3 linked regions of the Saccharomyces cerevisiae S288C genome follow. The protein of the gene in region 3 interacts with the protein of the main gene of each other region in a biochemical or structural test. Each region holds a gene or a part of one and is shown on either strand. Other genes may lie near its edges.

Region 1 (3,844 bases), on a different chromosome or scaffold from region 3:
GGAAAAGAAACATCTATTGCTACTTTAATTGAATTTGTGCTCTACTGAAATTTTTCAACAGAAGAAGTGCTTTTACTTCTCTCAATCTCTCCATGTCTCCCTTAACTAGAACCGTAGCTATAAAGAAAACGGTTAAGGTTCTATCTAAATGTCAATCTGGTAGAGAATACACACAGAAGTTTCTCCAACGTGCATATTCAACATCACATGCCAACAGCACATACTATTCAAGGACAAAGCTATTCATATCATCACATTCTAAAGCTCTAAACATTGCTCTACTAAGCGGGTCCCTACTGTTGACCTACTCCTACTATTCCCCTAAAAAGATCCTCTCCCTTGATACAATTAACGGAATAAAAGATTATTCTACAAATACTAGTGGTAACATTAACATGCCGTCACCTAATCCAAAAGGAACAGAGACACAAAAGAGTCAACGGTCTCAGAATGACCAATCTGTTCTTATCTTGAACGATTCTAAAATAGAGGCTAAACTACATGATAGAGAGGAAAGCCATTTTGTTAACCGTGGCACTGGTATATTCAGGTATGATGTGGCACAGTTGCCCTCTAACCATCCAATAGAAGACGATCACGTAGAACAAATCATTACCATTCCGATAGAAAGTGAGGATGGCAAGTCCATAGAGAAGGATTTGTATTTTTTTGGAATTTTTGATGGACATGGTGGTCCTTTCACTTCGGAAAAATTATCTAAAGATCTAGTCCGTTATGTAGCGTATCAATTAGGTCAGGTATATGACCAGAACAAAACGGTTTTCCATTCCGACCCCAACCAATTAATCGATTCTGCAATTTCGAAAGGTTTTTTGAAACTAGATAATGATCTTGTAATCGAATCGTTCAGGAAGCTGTTTCAAGATCCAAACAACACAAATATTGCAAACACTTTACCAGCGATTTCTGGTTCTTGTGCACTATTAAGTTTATACAACTCCACTAACTCAATTTTGAAAGTGGCTGTCACTGGAGACTCAAGGGCTTTAATTTGTGGTTTGGACAACGAGGGCAATTGGACGGTAAAGTCGCTATCCACCGACCAGACCGGTGATAATTTGGATGAAGTACGGAGAATTAGGAAAGAACATCCAGGAGAACCAAACGTTATAAGAAACGGAAGAATATTGGGTTCATTACAACCATCCAGGGCATTTGGAGACTATCGCTACAAGATCAAAGAAGTCGATGGAAAACCATTATCGGATTTGCCTGAAGTTGCCAAACTTTATTTTAGAAGAGAGCCAAGGGATTTCAAGACACCCCCATATGTCACTGCGGAACCAGTGATTACTTCTGCCAAAATTGGTGAGAACACTAAATTTATGGTGATGGGTTCGGATGGTTTATTCGAATTACTAACTAATGAAGAAATTGCTTCCTTGGTTATCAGGTGGATGGATAAAAATATGAATCTGGCACCTGTGAAGGCAGAACCGGGGAAATTACCAAAAGTTATCGATGTATCTGAAGACAAGGAAGCACAAAGACCGGCATTCAGGTACAAGGATAATAATTCGAGCTCACCATCAGGATCAAACCCAGAGTATCTTATTGAAGACAAAAACGTCGCCACTCATTTAATTAGAAATGCATTAAGTGCGGGCGGAAGAAAAGAATATGTATCGGCATTGGTAAGTATACCATCGCCGATGAGTAGAAGATACAGAGATGACTTGACAGTAACAGTGGCGTTCTTTGGTGATTCTGGAACACCCTCAATTGTCTCCAATGCTACTTCAATAGTTATGAACCCGGAGGCAACAACAAAGCCAAAACCTAGATTATGACGATATAAACTTATGCTGAGGTAGGTATATACCAGAGGATTTATTTTATAGATATTAGTCTGCTGATTATCTAGTTTCTTGTCACCTCATACGTGTTTTTTTTTTTTTTGGTTTTCTCGGTTTGCATTATGGGGCTTTTTGCTAAAACAATATCCCCGAAAAGACAAAGAAAGAGAAGTGAGGTGAAAATACGAGCAGCTTATCTTATAAAAGTGGCAACGATTTTAAAAATAAAAAGCAAGATCGTCGACTTATCTAAGCTATAAAAAAATATCCCTTTTATCACACAAAAAAATGAACACATCAGTCACTTCCATAAAGTTGGTACTGTTGGGTGAGGCAGCAGTTGGTAAATCGTCAATAGTCCTAAGGTTTGTATCTAATGATTTTGCCGAAAATAAGGAGCCCACCATTGGTGCAGCATTCCTCACTCAAAGAGTTACTATAAATGAACATACTGTTAAGTTTGAAATATGGGACACTGCTGGGCAAGAGAGATTTGCATCTTTAGCACCTATGTACTATAGAAACGCACAAGCTGCTCTTGTAGTATACGACGTTACAAAACCACAATCCTTTATTAAAGCGCGCCACTGGGTTAAGGAATTACATGAACAGGCATCAAAGGATATCATCATTGCGTTAGTTGGTAACAAGATCGATATGCTGCAAGAAGGTGGGGAAAGAAAAGTCGCAAGGGAAGAAGGTGAAAAGCTAGCGGAAGAAAAGGGCTTGTTGTTCTTTGAAACAAGTGCAAAGACAGGAGAGAATGTTAACGATGTATTTTTGGGAATCGGTGAAAAGATACCACTGAAGACGGCTGAAGAGCAAAATAGTGCAAGTAACGAACGTGAGTCGAACAATCAAAGAGTGGATTTGAACGCTGCTAATGATGGGACCAGCGCAAACAGTGCTTGCAGTTGTTAGAGAGGGGAAAATAAATATATATAAAAAAAAAGTCTGGGCAAATTGAGATAAATAGATCTTCAAAACGGGAAAGATGAAAGTCATAATTTATCGTACCTAGAAAGGAGAGGGAGTTTTCATTTTTTACCGTAATCGTTGTTTTTCTTTTCTTCTTATAATTTGTAAATTTTTTAACTGCATTAGATCATTATATTATCTTTCAAAACGCCAGTCGTTTTTATTAGACCTTTATATACGTTTCAAAGTGGTTTGTACACGTTAGTTTAGTTAAACTTTTGTTTTCATGTAGACCAAAATATAAACTTATTTTATGCCGAAAATCGGGAGATGGATTAGTTAATATTGTAAATAATGATAAATTAAAGGAACATTAAATTTACAAAGTTGCAATGAGGAGCAATATATATATATATATATGGATTTCTGAGAAATTAATTAAGCAGTATTTGAACACATGTCGTTTACTCTTTCTTATCCTTTATGTCTAATTTTTCGAGTAGATCGGTAATTACAGCTGTCAAGTTTTCCACTTTCTTAGTGAGCTCTTTGACTTCATCTTTATCTTCACCAGCATCATCTTCAGTGTCATCGTTATCATACTGTTCGAAGGAGGGACTGCATTTTTTAACGTTTTTATACCACTTCTTAGGGACTTTAAAATGGACATCTTCCTGCTCTGCTGTTCTTTGCAGTTTTAGCGAACGGGAATTCTTTAACTGGGTGGCTCTCATGCCAGAATTTCGGTTATCAGAAAACAAACCGTCATCATCATCCAAGTAGCCATCTGTCAAATCCCATGGAGTATCATATTCATTGGCATCATCGTTTAACCTTTTCATCCTGTTATATTTTATCCTTCTAGCCTCCCGAGTTTCTTTAACAGAAATAAGCAACAAAAATGGGCTGTACACTATTGTCATTACAGTATAGCTCAAATCTTTAGCACGCTTCGGTGGAAGAATACGAAAGATAGGTGTCATGAACACTTCAATTAAGTTCAATGGAGAAACATAGACATCTTCATCAGGTGCTCTAATGTATCTCAACGTCTTTTGTGACATCAAAGCCATGTACTCGTCATCTGCATTGTCAATAACTTTTTGGTA
Region 2 (5,837 bases), on a different chromosome or scaffold from region 3:
TTTCGTTAGATCTCAATATTTCTTCAATACCAATACAGGTGTATTGAAGTTATTTAATGTTGTTAACGCTAGCAGAGTACCAAAACCTTATGAGCTATACATAGATAATGTGAGGACGGTTCATTTATCAAATCAGGATGTTATAAACGTTGTAGAGATGGAAATATTTAAAACAGCTTTGTGGGTTGAAGATAAGTGCTACATTAGAGAAGATGGTCTTTTTCAGGGCTCTAGTTTATCTGCTCCGATCGTTGATTTGGTGTATGACGATCTTCTGGAGTTTTATAGCGAGTTTAAAGCCAGTCCTAGCCAGGACACATTAATTTTAAAACTGGCTGACGATTTCCTTATAATATCAACAGACCAACAGCAAGTGATCAATATCAAAAAGCTTGCCATGGGCGGATTTCAAAAATATAATGCGAAAGCCAATAGAGACAAAATTTTAGCCGTAAGCTCCCAATCAGATGATGATACGGTTATTCAATTTTGTGCAATGCACATATTTGTTAAAGAATTGGAAGTTTGGAAACATTCAAGCACAATGAATAATTTCCATATCCGTTCGAAATCTAGTAAAGGGATATTTCGAAGTTTAATAGCGCTGTTTAACACTAGAATCTCTTATAAAACAATTGACACAAATTTAAATTCAACAAACACCGTTCTCATGCAAATTGATCATGTTGTAAAGAACATTTCGGAATGTTATAAATCTGCTTTTAAGGATCTATCAATTAATGTTACGCAAAATATGCAATTTCATTCGTTCTTACAACGCATCATTGAAATGACAGTCAGCGGTTGTCCAATTACGAAATGTGATCCTTTAATCGAGTATGAGGTACGATTCACCATATTGAATGGATTTTTGGAAAGCCTATCTTCAAACACATCAAAATTTAAAGATAATATCATTCTTTTGAGAAAGGAAATTCAACACTTGCAAGCATATATATATATATATATACATATAGTTAATTAGTACTAATAATACATGAAATACTGACAGCTTATGATGCTGATAAGGAAAATATTGCCGCAAACTTTGTAATAAGCCAAAAGCACTAATCTCTTTTCCGTTAGCTTTCATAAAATTAGTGTATTTAAGTAAACCCCGGCCCAAAATATGCTCTCAAATTTGCTTCATCCTTCTGCTTTCTTATCCTTTCTACTTCTTCAAAGCCTCCCGATTTTTTCAGGTTTGAATTACCCACAAAATTTTCCAGTTCATCATCAAATTCATTACTAGCTTTAAGTTTTCTTTCCATCTCCCACATCTTCTCAGCCTTGTCAATAGCTTCGACCCTACTATCGTGGTCAGGGTTTAAAGATTGGACGGCCACCATAACTTGCTCCCTTACCTGATTAAATGTGCCCGGTCTCATAATAGGCAAAATAGGATTACTTTTTGATCTCGAAGGGTTTTTTTCTTGTTCTTCACAACATAACTTAATAAGATCGAAAGTTTCTAATGCCTTACCCAAGTCTTCCTTCAAATCTAAAATCAACTCTTCCTGCAACGTGAGAAACTGTTGTTCTTCACAGACCTTATCGAGCTCAGCTTCCCAAGTTTTTTTCCAATGTGGTTTTTCAGTATCAATAAACTCCTGTAGTTTAAGTACATCTGCTTGGGCATTTTCTAAATCCTTGGATACGGTTTCTAGCTTCTTTTTAGCGGGCTGAGACCTACGCTCAGCAACGTCTTTCCTCATAATTTCGATTACATCTTGCAAATCATCTACTTTACTTAGCAGAGTATCGGATAAATCACCGAGTTCGGTCTGTGATTTTTCCATGTACATTCTGTTGGAAGAGTTTTTGGCAGAAAATGATAAAGACTTAAAGTTATCGACCTTTCGTAAAATGTTGAAAATAGTCTCATTAATATTTGACCTATTAATATTATGCACTTGTTTTATTTTCCCCAATTCGTACTGAATATCTTTGATCGTTTTATCATCATCTTTTTTGTTTTGCCCCACAAGATCGTGTTTGTTAGCTTCAAGGCCAGGTTGTGGTAAAACTTCCGTTTGCTTGCCGCTAATTGCAGAACCAAAACTCATTTCTTTTAAATGTCTTATTATATCATTCTGACTATTCGATATCTCCATCTTAACTGTGTCAATGAATTCCTTGATCGTATTATTTGGATTCTCTTCGAGCTTTAGCTCGATAACAAACCCTTCTTTAATATCGAGAAGATTTAGTTCCTCTAATTCATAGAATACTCCATATTGAGGATCCATAATATATATGTCTGGGAAGGAATTTGCTCCAGGAGAATACGCAAAGCGCTCAATAAATAGGAGCCTTAATGCGTTTTTTGTAGTAGGCAGTTGCACATGACACTTCTTTGTTTTGTCTCCTATCCTTAAAAATACTGGACAAGTTCCATTCATGGCTTTATCTGGCGAAGTTGTAACAACGCTTGATAATCTTCGTGGAGATGCACGAACATTCTCAATAGGCAATGGCGTTTTCGCCAATGGACTCGCCTTTGATACATCGTCAATGCTTTTACCCTTATTTTCAGCTGAATTAATGTTTCTATCATCATCATTGTTGTTATTTCCGTATAACTTTGACTTTCTTACGGTTTCCTCTAGATGCAACATCGAGGGTGAAGGAGTTGTCATGAGGCCGGCAGCCGCAGCAGCTTCTGTTGTAGACTGATTTGTCAATTTAGCCATATGGTAGGCAGAGTATCTCTTTGAGGCTCTCCTTTGTAAATTAGTTCCCTTCTTCAATTGTGAAAGTGCATCATCATCATCAGATGCGTTTGGAGCATTGTTAGATTTAAGGTTTTGTTTAATATTAGTTCTTGGTTTTGTCAATGTTGCCTCTGCTGACTGAGCAGAGGGTGTTCCCGTAGAAGTAGAATTCACTTTTTCCCCATAGCTGTTTTCGACTGAATCGCTTTGCCTCTGATCACGTACAATACTGCTTTTTCTGCTACTTAATGGAGTCCCCTCACGGGTCCCTTCACTACCCAATGAAAGGTTACTAGTAAAGGAAGGGTTTTGTTGATGATGTGATTTTACACTTATCCGATGCTCTTGCTGCATATTCTTCAAAATTGCTTGTTTAACCTTTAGTTTGTCTAAAAGTGTCACTATAATCTCTCTGATTTTTGGCAGATGTTTATTTAAAGTTTCATCAGATGGTGGTTCCCTCAATGTCACTTCCAATACACGTCTTAAAGCCATTGGCACATCACCAACATCTGACATGTCAACTTTCGCATGCATGAAGAATTTCGATACGACTTTGAAGTCATTGCCCAACTGAACGTATGCATCAGATACTAATCTTCCAGAGGTTGTCCCCTTAGACCATTGTGTTAAGACCTGGAGGAGGTGCTTGGTGGACATCAGCAACTTTGTTACTGTCGTTTCAATACTACTACTGCTAGAAGCAGTTCTTTTAATCTTTGGGGTGCCATACGTAGGGTCATCCACGGCCATCTTCATCTAATTTTAAAATAATACGAGGATTACTACACCAATTTGGCAGCCAGCTTCTACTCTTTTTCCCTTTTCTTGGGTTTGTTTTGATGCCATTATCTCAAGAATGCATAATAGTAGGATAAAATTCGTTCAGCTCGGCTAGCGAGATATCTTCAAAGAGTAAAGCGCATCTGCGTGTAAAATTAAATTCAAGAAGTGAAAGAATAAAAGATAGGATTGTAGATTTGAAGTTTAGTGGTAGCGTCAGCAGATAAGCTTATGGATGTTGATGAACCGAATCCTATTGTGATATCAGATTCTGAGGCCACTGATGAGGAAATTAGTATCATATACGAACCCGAATTCAATGAAAATTATTTATGGGCAGAGGAAAACGTCCAAGAAGCAAGCAGATCACAGAAAATTGTCACTGAGAGGTTGAGCCTGGATTCCACTGCTGGAGAATCTTGTACTCCTTCCGTAGTAACTGATACACAAGTTACTACGGGGCTTCGGTGGTCTTTGAGGAAGAGGAAGGCTATTCAAAAGATGCCATACAGTTTAGAACGCATAAAGCATAGGCAGTTGCTAGAGGGCTATGATATCTCTAGTTTTGACAGCATTTCGAATCAGTTGACCTTACCGAAGAACGCTTCTACAGTGATTCACTCAAATGATATTTTACTTACAAAGAGAACTGGTAAACCCTTAGATGAGCAGAAAGATGTTACAATCGACTCCATTAAACCCGAAAACAGCTCGGTTCAATCTCAAAGATATGATAGTGATGAAGAAATACCAAAGAAAAGGCATCGTACTTTTAAAGACCTCGACCAGGATATAGTATTTCAATCAGGTGATTCTACGGAAGATGAACAAGACTTGGCTAGTACAAATTTACAGAATACTCAAAATGACGAAGTAATATTTAGAGGAAGAGTATTGAATGTAAGAACTGGTTACCGTGGGGTCCTGCCAAGAGTTGCTTGGGAAAAGTCGTTGCAAAAGCAGCAGTCTTCAAAAGTCACGAAAAGAAAAACTCAATTATTGAACCATAAGGGTGTGGCTAAGAGGAAAATGAACAGAAGCGCCCATATTGAAGATGAAGAACAGAACTTATTGAACGATCTTATTGCACCTGATGACGAACTGGATATCGAGGAAAACGCCCCTCCAGATATATACTTAGGAAATCTTCCAGAGGATCGTGAGGCTAACGAAAAGGAATTAAAGGAATTGCAAGAATATTATGAGAGCAAGTATAGTGAAGACGCACAATCGGCTGGAACTTCTGGTTTTAATTTAAATGAGGAATACCGCAATGAACCAGTGTATGAGCTGGAATATGACGGACCGGGGAGCTGCATATCACATGTGTCTTATAAAGACCAGCCTATTATTTATTTGAATTCACGGCATTCAGATAGCGGATTTAGTGAGCAATACAATATATCTGCCGAAGATAATCAAAGTGTAATTTCCCTAGATGCTGCTGAAGAGCATAACGATGGTATAATTGACAAGATGTTGGTTAAACCTAAAAGAATTAAAGCAACCAATGATGCCAACTTTTTGAATACAAAAAGTAAGAGAGTGAGAAGATATAAGTACAAATATCGAAATTCTTGTCTGGCCCCAAGTACAAAAGCTATCAAAGTCGGAAAACGGTCAGCGCATAAATCTCATTTGGCAGCTAATAATCCAGTTTCATTTGTTTCTAAGAAGAATCATGTAATTGATGATTATTTTTTTGAAGAATTAGAATCTCAATCCCTAGAACAGGATGACAGCTCTTCTCTCAAGCCACAGAAAAAAAGAAGGAAGAAGAAAGCACCTATATACTCAAGTTTCTCCGCTGATCTTGAATCGAGACGAAAACCAGTTTTCAATACTGTTGTAGAGGTTCCCACGAACCGATACGCTTTCACAAAGCCAAATGTACGTAATAGGGACAGCATTAATCATGACATGGAATTTGAGGAAGAAGACTCCAATCAAGAGCTTGGACCAATAATGGTCGTACTTGACTCAATTTTACTAAAAAAACCTTTTGAGCCACCTAATTTCTTCAAGATCCAGTTGTCAGACAAGAGTTTCTTGCTATCAAAATTGAATCCTGCAGATATAGCTACATCATTACAGAAAATATTCAGAGTAATCATTGATAAAGGTATCACTGATACTGAACTAGTTCACTTTAACGAAAGCCTTATTGCTTTTTTGGTGCACCTTGACATGCCTGAACTATTCGACTTAATAGGTGAATTTCATCGTGAATTTAGATCGAAGGTCAATAGCTTGAGGAAAAAAGCTAAACCAATCCATTTTTTTCAAATTGCGGCATGCCAATTAATGTTTCTAGAAATATCAAGATATAACAAAATTTCA
Region 3 (5,210 bases):
CGATTTAAATGCATAAGTACATCGATTTTTTTTAAATCATATATACACATAAAAAAATAGATAAAATGAGAGCGTAGTCTTCACAAGACCAAAAAAAAAAATGGTTCGAACTTCCTCTTTTTTACACCTGTTCGATTTTTCTTTTTAGTGTATTAGAATGTTCTTCGGCGTTAGCAGTTTCAATTGTTTCAGCCGTAGCCTCATCACCAGGTTGATCACTCGAAACTATACATTCCTTCACGTCCGCTGGTATTTCCTTTTCTGCTTTCTTTAGCTCTTCTATAACATCAACAGTTGCTCCCTCGTCTAGAACCTTCTCCAGTACCTTACTCCACACCTTCTCGTCTCTTTCAGTAAAATCCGTTAATTGGAACACATTATTTTTTTCAAGAGACCAGTCCTGCTGTTGCAAACGTATCAATTTCACCATATAACATGAGCTCCTCATAGATTTACCGATGTCGCTCACTAAGGACCTTATGTATGTTCCAGAAGACACATTAGCTTTGAAGTGCAATTTTGGAGCCCTATAAGAATCTCCTTCTTTTTGGATTTCTTGCTCTTCTTGTTCACTCAGCGGAAATGGTTCTTCTACCTTTGCCACCTCAGAATCAAGGCCGTGCTTCTCTGTATATTCTTTTGAAAAGTATAAAACATCGTTTAGCATGTTTGCATTCAAATTTTTCACGGTATCAACAGCTTCTTCTGTAGTGGGCCTCAATAAGGGATAGTCATGATCACGTTTAAGAGAGTCTGAAAACACCTTCAAGTCATAAATAGTAACTTGTCTGGGCTCAATGGCTCTAGGTAAAGGCTTTCCTTCTCGAGCATATTCATGCAGGGGTTTGCCATCCATCTTCAAAGCTGCGTATATTGGCGGCGTCTGCTTTAATTGTCCAACAAATTTTTCCTCCACAGTCTTTAAATCATCGAAATTTAAATGTTTAACGGAGTTCTGGGACAAAATCTCACCTTCTACATCTCCTGAAGTAGTGGAAACACCAAACAGGGCTTCACTTTCATAGACTTTAACGGTGCCTGAAAGATAATTTGCAAGTTTTTTGGTGCCCGCTCCAATCCCAATTACCAGGACACCAGAGGCCAACGGATCCAAAGTGCCTCCGTGTCCCATCTTTACCTTTGAGACTTTACGAAGTTTCCTCTTGCTGGCCTTCTTACCTGTCTGTTTTTCATATTGCTGCTTTCTTTCCGCTGTTGCCCTTTGAATTTCCTTCGAGAATACTTGACTTTTAGTTAAAGCATGTTGCAACTTTAGCATAAACTGATTGGATGTAATACCGCTAGGCTTCTCAATAGCAAATATTCCATTCATGTTCCCCTTGATTGAGTTTTCTTTTTATGTGATGCCCTAACTTACACAATTTACAAGCTTAGCTCATCTTTAACAAATTTTTCACCTCGCTGTTAGAAGATATCATGGAAAATTGCCAGATCAATACCAGAGAAAAAACGCCAAACAAAATTCTCTGAAATATAGATGCTCAAAAAAAAATAAGTCTGTGTATATGTATATGTTTTATATGCTAGTTAATTATCACATATTTGTTTATGCAAAAACAAAAACAGGAAGCAAAAGTTAGTCACCCTTGTCTTTTTTCTTCCTCATCTGCTTCACTTTCTCCTTGATGCTATTATTCCAATGAACTCCAGCTAGGCTCTTTTTAAACCCATATACCTCTGAAGATAATGCTTCATTGACTGCATCACTTGTTATGTGGATACCTTTATTATCTGTATTATCATTAATTGGCAAATCTGCCTCTGATGTTGAATTTCCAAGAAGTTCACCATATGTCTTAAATTTGAGACGCTGAGCGGCAACAAATTTTCGACACCTGTCTATTTCATCCTGATCTAACCTATTTAAATTAAATCTCCTTTTGAAAATGATTTTCTCAAAGATCTCATTTGGGTTCAATAATGTCTTAGGGAATGTCTGTATGACCTGAAAAATTTCCATATCGCTATCTTCTTGGCCCATTGATCCGCCTCTCTGGTTTAAGTTAGAGCCCCAAGAATAATTCAACGAATTGTTACGAGGTTTTATTTTCGAAAGGTCATGCTCGCTCAATTTTAAGACAGCCAACGAAACTTTGAATAGAAAATGTGATTCCTCGTAAAACAGACAATCCCATATTCTAAGCGTGGTCTCTATCGGCACTACACCGACAAAGCAACTCATGAACCAGCTCGCCGTGCACAAAGTAATGGGCGGAAGTCTGTACAAGAACTCATTCTTTTGCATATTGAATAAAACTTTTTTATTTGACGGAGAAAAAGTTTTGTTATTTTTTTGGTGGTGGTCAATGGAAGGCTTAATGTACGACCAAACTTCTGGAATATATTCTTTGACACATAGCATCAGTACCCCTTGGTCGATGTTAACACCTTCTAGATTGATATTATGCACCCCCGGTAGGTATCTTGAAGTAATAATCACTAGCATCCAAAAGGCCCTTTCCTCGTCTAAAAATAACAATAGCAAGCCTGCAAGAAAGTTCATAGATTGACAATAGCCAATCTTCGGATTGTAGAGAGAGAACGCAACAAGCACCCGGCGTAAAGATTTTATAATCGGAGGTCCCTCTTTGTTATGCAAGCTACTTTGGAAATGTATATTGTCCGGAAATGTTCTATTCAAGTCACGTTCAATAATATCCAAGTCTTGAACTTGTTTTTCATTAGGGTTTTGTTTCTTGATCTGCTTCATCTTTCGTAAAAGTTGTGAATAGACGCCTTTATTCTTGTTTAACTTCTCTTGCCCTCTAGCGAAATGCCACCATGCATTTCCTCTCCATTCCGCTGGAATGCCCTTTCTGACATACCTTTTTAACCGTTCACTCTTTGATGGAAATCGTGAAGGAGAATCATCGGTCACTGGCAACCCACTTTTCTCCAACAGCAATTGCCATTTGTGCTTACGGCGAACGCAGTACTGCGAATATTCTACCCACCACTTATCGTATTCTGCTTCAGATATGTAATTATTCTGTTTTTTGAAACCGTATCGATCAAAATGGGTATTGTTGATTCCATTGGAATTCGCACTTGTGGCACTAGCGGCACCCTCCAATTCTACACGCTGACGGTTGTCATCATCAGGAACCAAATCGAGGTCATCACTGTGCACTTCCTCCAGATCTTCGTTACCATTATCGCCATTATTATCATCATCATCCTCTCCTTCGGCACGTTGGGATTCCACTTCGTCTCCATACAGGTCAATAACGCTTAAATTCCCATCATGTTCAGAGGGGGATGCTTGGCCCAAACAACTTGGTTCCACAGAGCGATGATCATTCGCTCTAAAGCTTCCGTTCACCAGAGCTGAGTCGCTAGAACTATGATCTGAATGCATTTTATCATGAAAGTTAGGAACAGACGGTGATTTCACCGTAAATGCCCCTCCTAGCCTTTTGTATGGATGCGCCAGTACCGTCCTATTTTGCAGGGAGAACCTCTGTTGATCGTTCTGCATGCTAATTACAATGGTTCTGGGTGCGCAACTCTTTGACTCCTACAAAGCTTCTAGATGTCCCTTTAGCTATTTTTAGCTACTTTCTTTCTACGTGACATAAACGAGGTTTGATCCTGTTAATTCTGATACTGCCCGAACAGAAAAATAGCAGCTATTGAAAGAGAAGATGGAACCCGTTGTATCGGCGAGTAAAGATAAGTACTTTAGAAGAGCAACCCACATCGTTTAGTTACAAGAAAGACAAAAGACTGGTACTACAGATTCGGTGTCCTTTACCTGTTTTCTTCTTTCCTGTGCGCACTTAATCAGTCATTTTAGACTATCGTTTTTAGTAGCACATAAGGAGGAAGACACTCGATGAATAGTCGATTCTGCAAACATGAACTTGTGGAGACATAGTCCAGAAGAATTGGCTGCTTACAATAGCTGTCATCCAATGAAGCTAGGTTCAGGGGTGCTGATACAATTGCCTCTTTATGACAATTCGGCAGTATATGCAGAAGATATTACTTTTAGGAGTTTCTGCTGTGAAAGAGTGCCCGTTTATGTATCTACGGTGCTAAGAAACTCTTCCCCATATAGGTATCTTGATGAGGTGATCAATGACTGGCAAAAATTCATTCAAGTAAGCGATTATGTCGGCGGTTCTGCTGAGTATGCGATTTATGCTGTGATTTTGTCGATAACTTCTAATTTTGTCATCACAGTGTTCCTGACTGTGATATGCTGTATAAATATCAGCGGGCGCGCATATAAGAGAATTCTACAACTACTGAGGATAGCCTCGTTGTTAGCCTCGTTGAACTTAACGATTTTTATCACGAAGGTGTTGCGGAGATTGGAAAAAGAGCACAATGTCTATGGTGTCGTTCGGGCTCATTCCATTATGCACATCTTTTCCGATGATATGACATTTGTTGTCTTGGATTTCTTGGCTACTTTAATGTTCCAATTTTGCCAAGTCGGCATTGTCATTAGGCTATTTCAAAGAGCTCAGGAAAAGAGAATAATTTTTTTTATTGGGGTGATATTAACAATAACCGCAAATATTTTATGGGTAATTCCACCGTTTGCTAACCATACTACAAAACACAGAAATGACTGGCAGATTCTGCGGCCATTTGTTTACCTTTTCCGTATTGCCATCGCCACGTCATATGCATCAATCGTCATTTATCACATCTGGCAGAAAAAAAAATTGTGGTTTAAATTCAATCAAATGGGTTTACTTACGCTATTGACTATTCTTGTGGTGCTTCTATTACCGGGTTTCTTCCTTGCCGATGTGTCGAACTTATGGATATCGGAACTGGGTGAAGTGTTTAACACGACATGCTATGTCACTTCGACCGTGATCACATGGGAGTGGCTGGATAGATTAAATGTTTTGGAAAGAAAAGAGGAAGCGCAAAGCATTTTGGGAAGACCTATCTTCGAGGAAGAGCAACAAGACTATCGGTTTGCCAAGTACGCCTTAAGGGTTCAAAACGCTTTAACCAGGAGGGAATCTCAGGACGCATCAACGGATCGGCACGATACGTCAAGTAATTCGGAAGTATGTGATTTACAGACCATATCACGCTACGACCCAGAAGATCAGATATCAGTGGGCAGAAGCATTGATCGAATGCATTTCAATGATAGGGGAACTTATAAAGATGTAGCGCTGAAGAAATTAGGCTATGCGCGTGATAAAATTTTATACTTTACA

Evidence for each region. The genes of interacting proteins can lie anywhere in the genome.
Region 1: of the proteins of MSB3 (region 3) and VPS21, one has a biochemical effect on the other in vitro, tested with the Saccharomyces cerevisiae proteins (3 studies listed by BioGRID, with this or other methods).
Region 2: the proteins of MSB3 (region 3) and BUD6 form a complex in vitro, tested with the Saccharomyces cerevisiae proteins (one study listed by BioGRID).

The regions. Positions count from the first base shown.
Region 1 is NC_001147.6:489,090-492,933, reverse strand, and holds VPS21 (Rab family GTPase VPS21), read left to right. Parts: upstream 1-2,105; coding exon 2,106-2,738; downstream 2,739-3,844. Other genes in the region: type 2C protein phosphatase PTC5, read left to right, coding at 93-1,811; YVC1 (Yvc1p), read right to left, coding at 3,200-3,844.
Region 2 is NC_001144.5:768,212-774,048, forward strand, and holds BUD6 (formin-mediated actin nucleation enhancer), read right to left. Parts: upstream 3,474-5,837; coding exon 1,107-3,473; downstream 1-1,106. Other genes in the region: EST2 (telomerase reverse transcriptase), read left to right, coding at 1-985; MMS22 (Mms22p), read left to right, coding at 3,729-5,837.
Region 3 is NC_001146.8:78,929-84,138, reverse strand, and holds MSB3 (Rab GTPase-activating protein MSB3), read right to left. Parts: upstream 3,500-5,210; coding exon 1,598-3,499; downstream 1-1,597. Other genes in the region: pseudouridine synthase PUS4, read right to left, coding at 122-1,333; RIM21 (Rim21p), read left to right, coding at 3,879-5,210. UniProt on the Saccharomyces cerevisiae protein: Regulates exocytosis by functioning as a GAP for SEC4. Stimulates specifically the GTPase activity of YPT6. Also required for efficient polarization of the actin patches.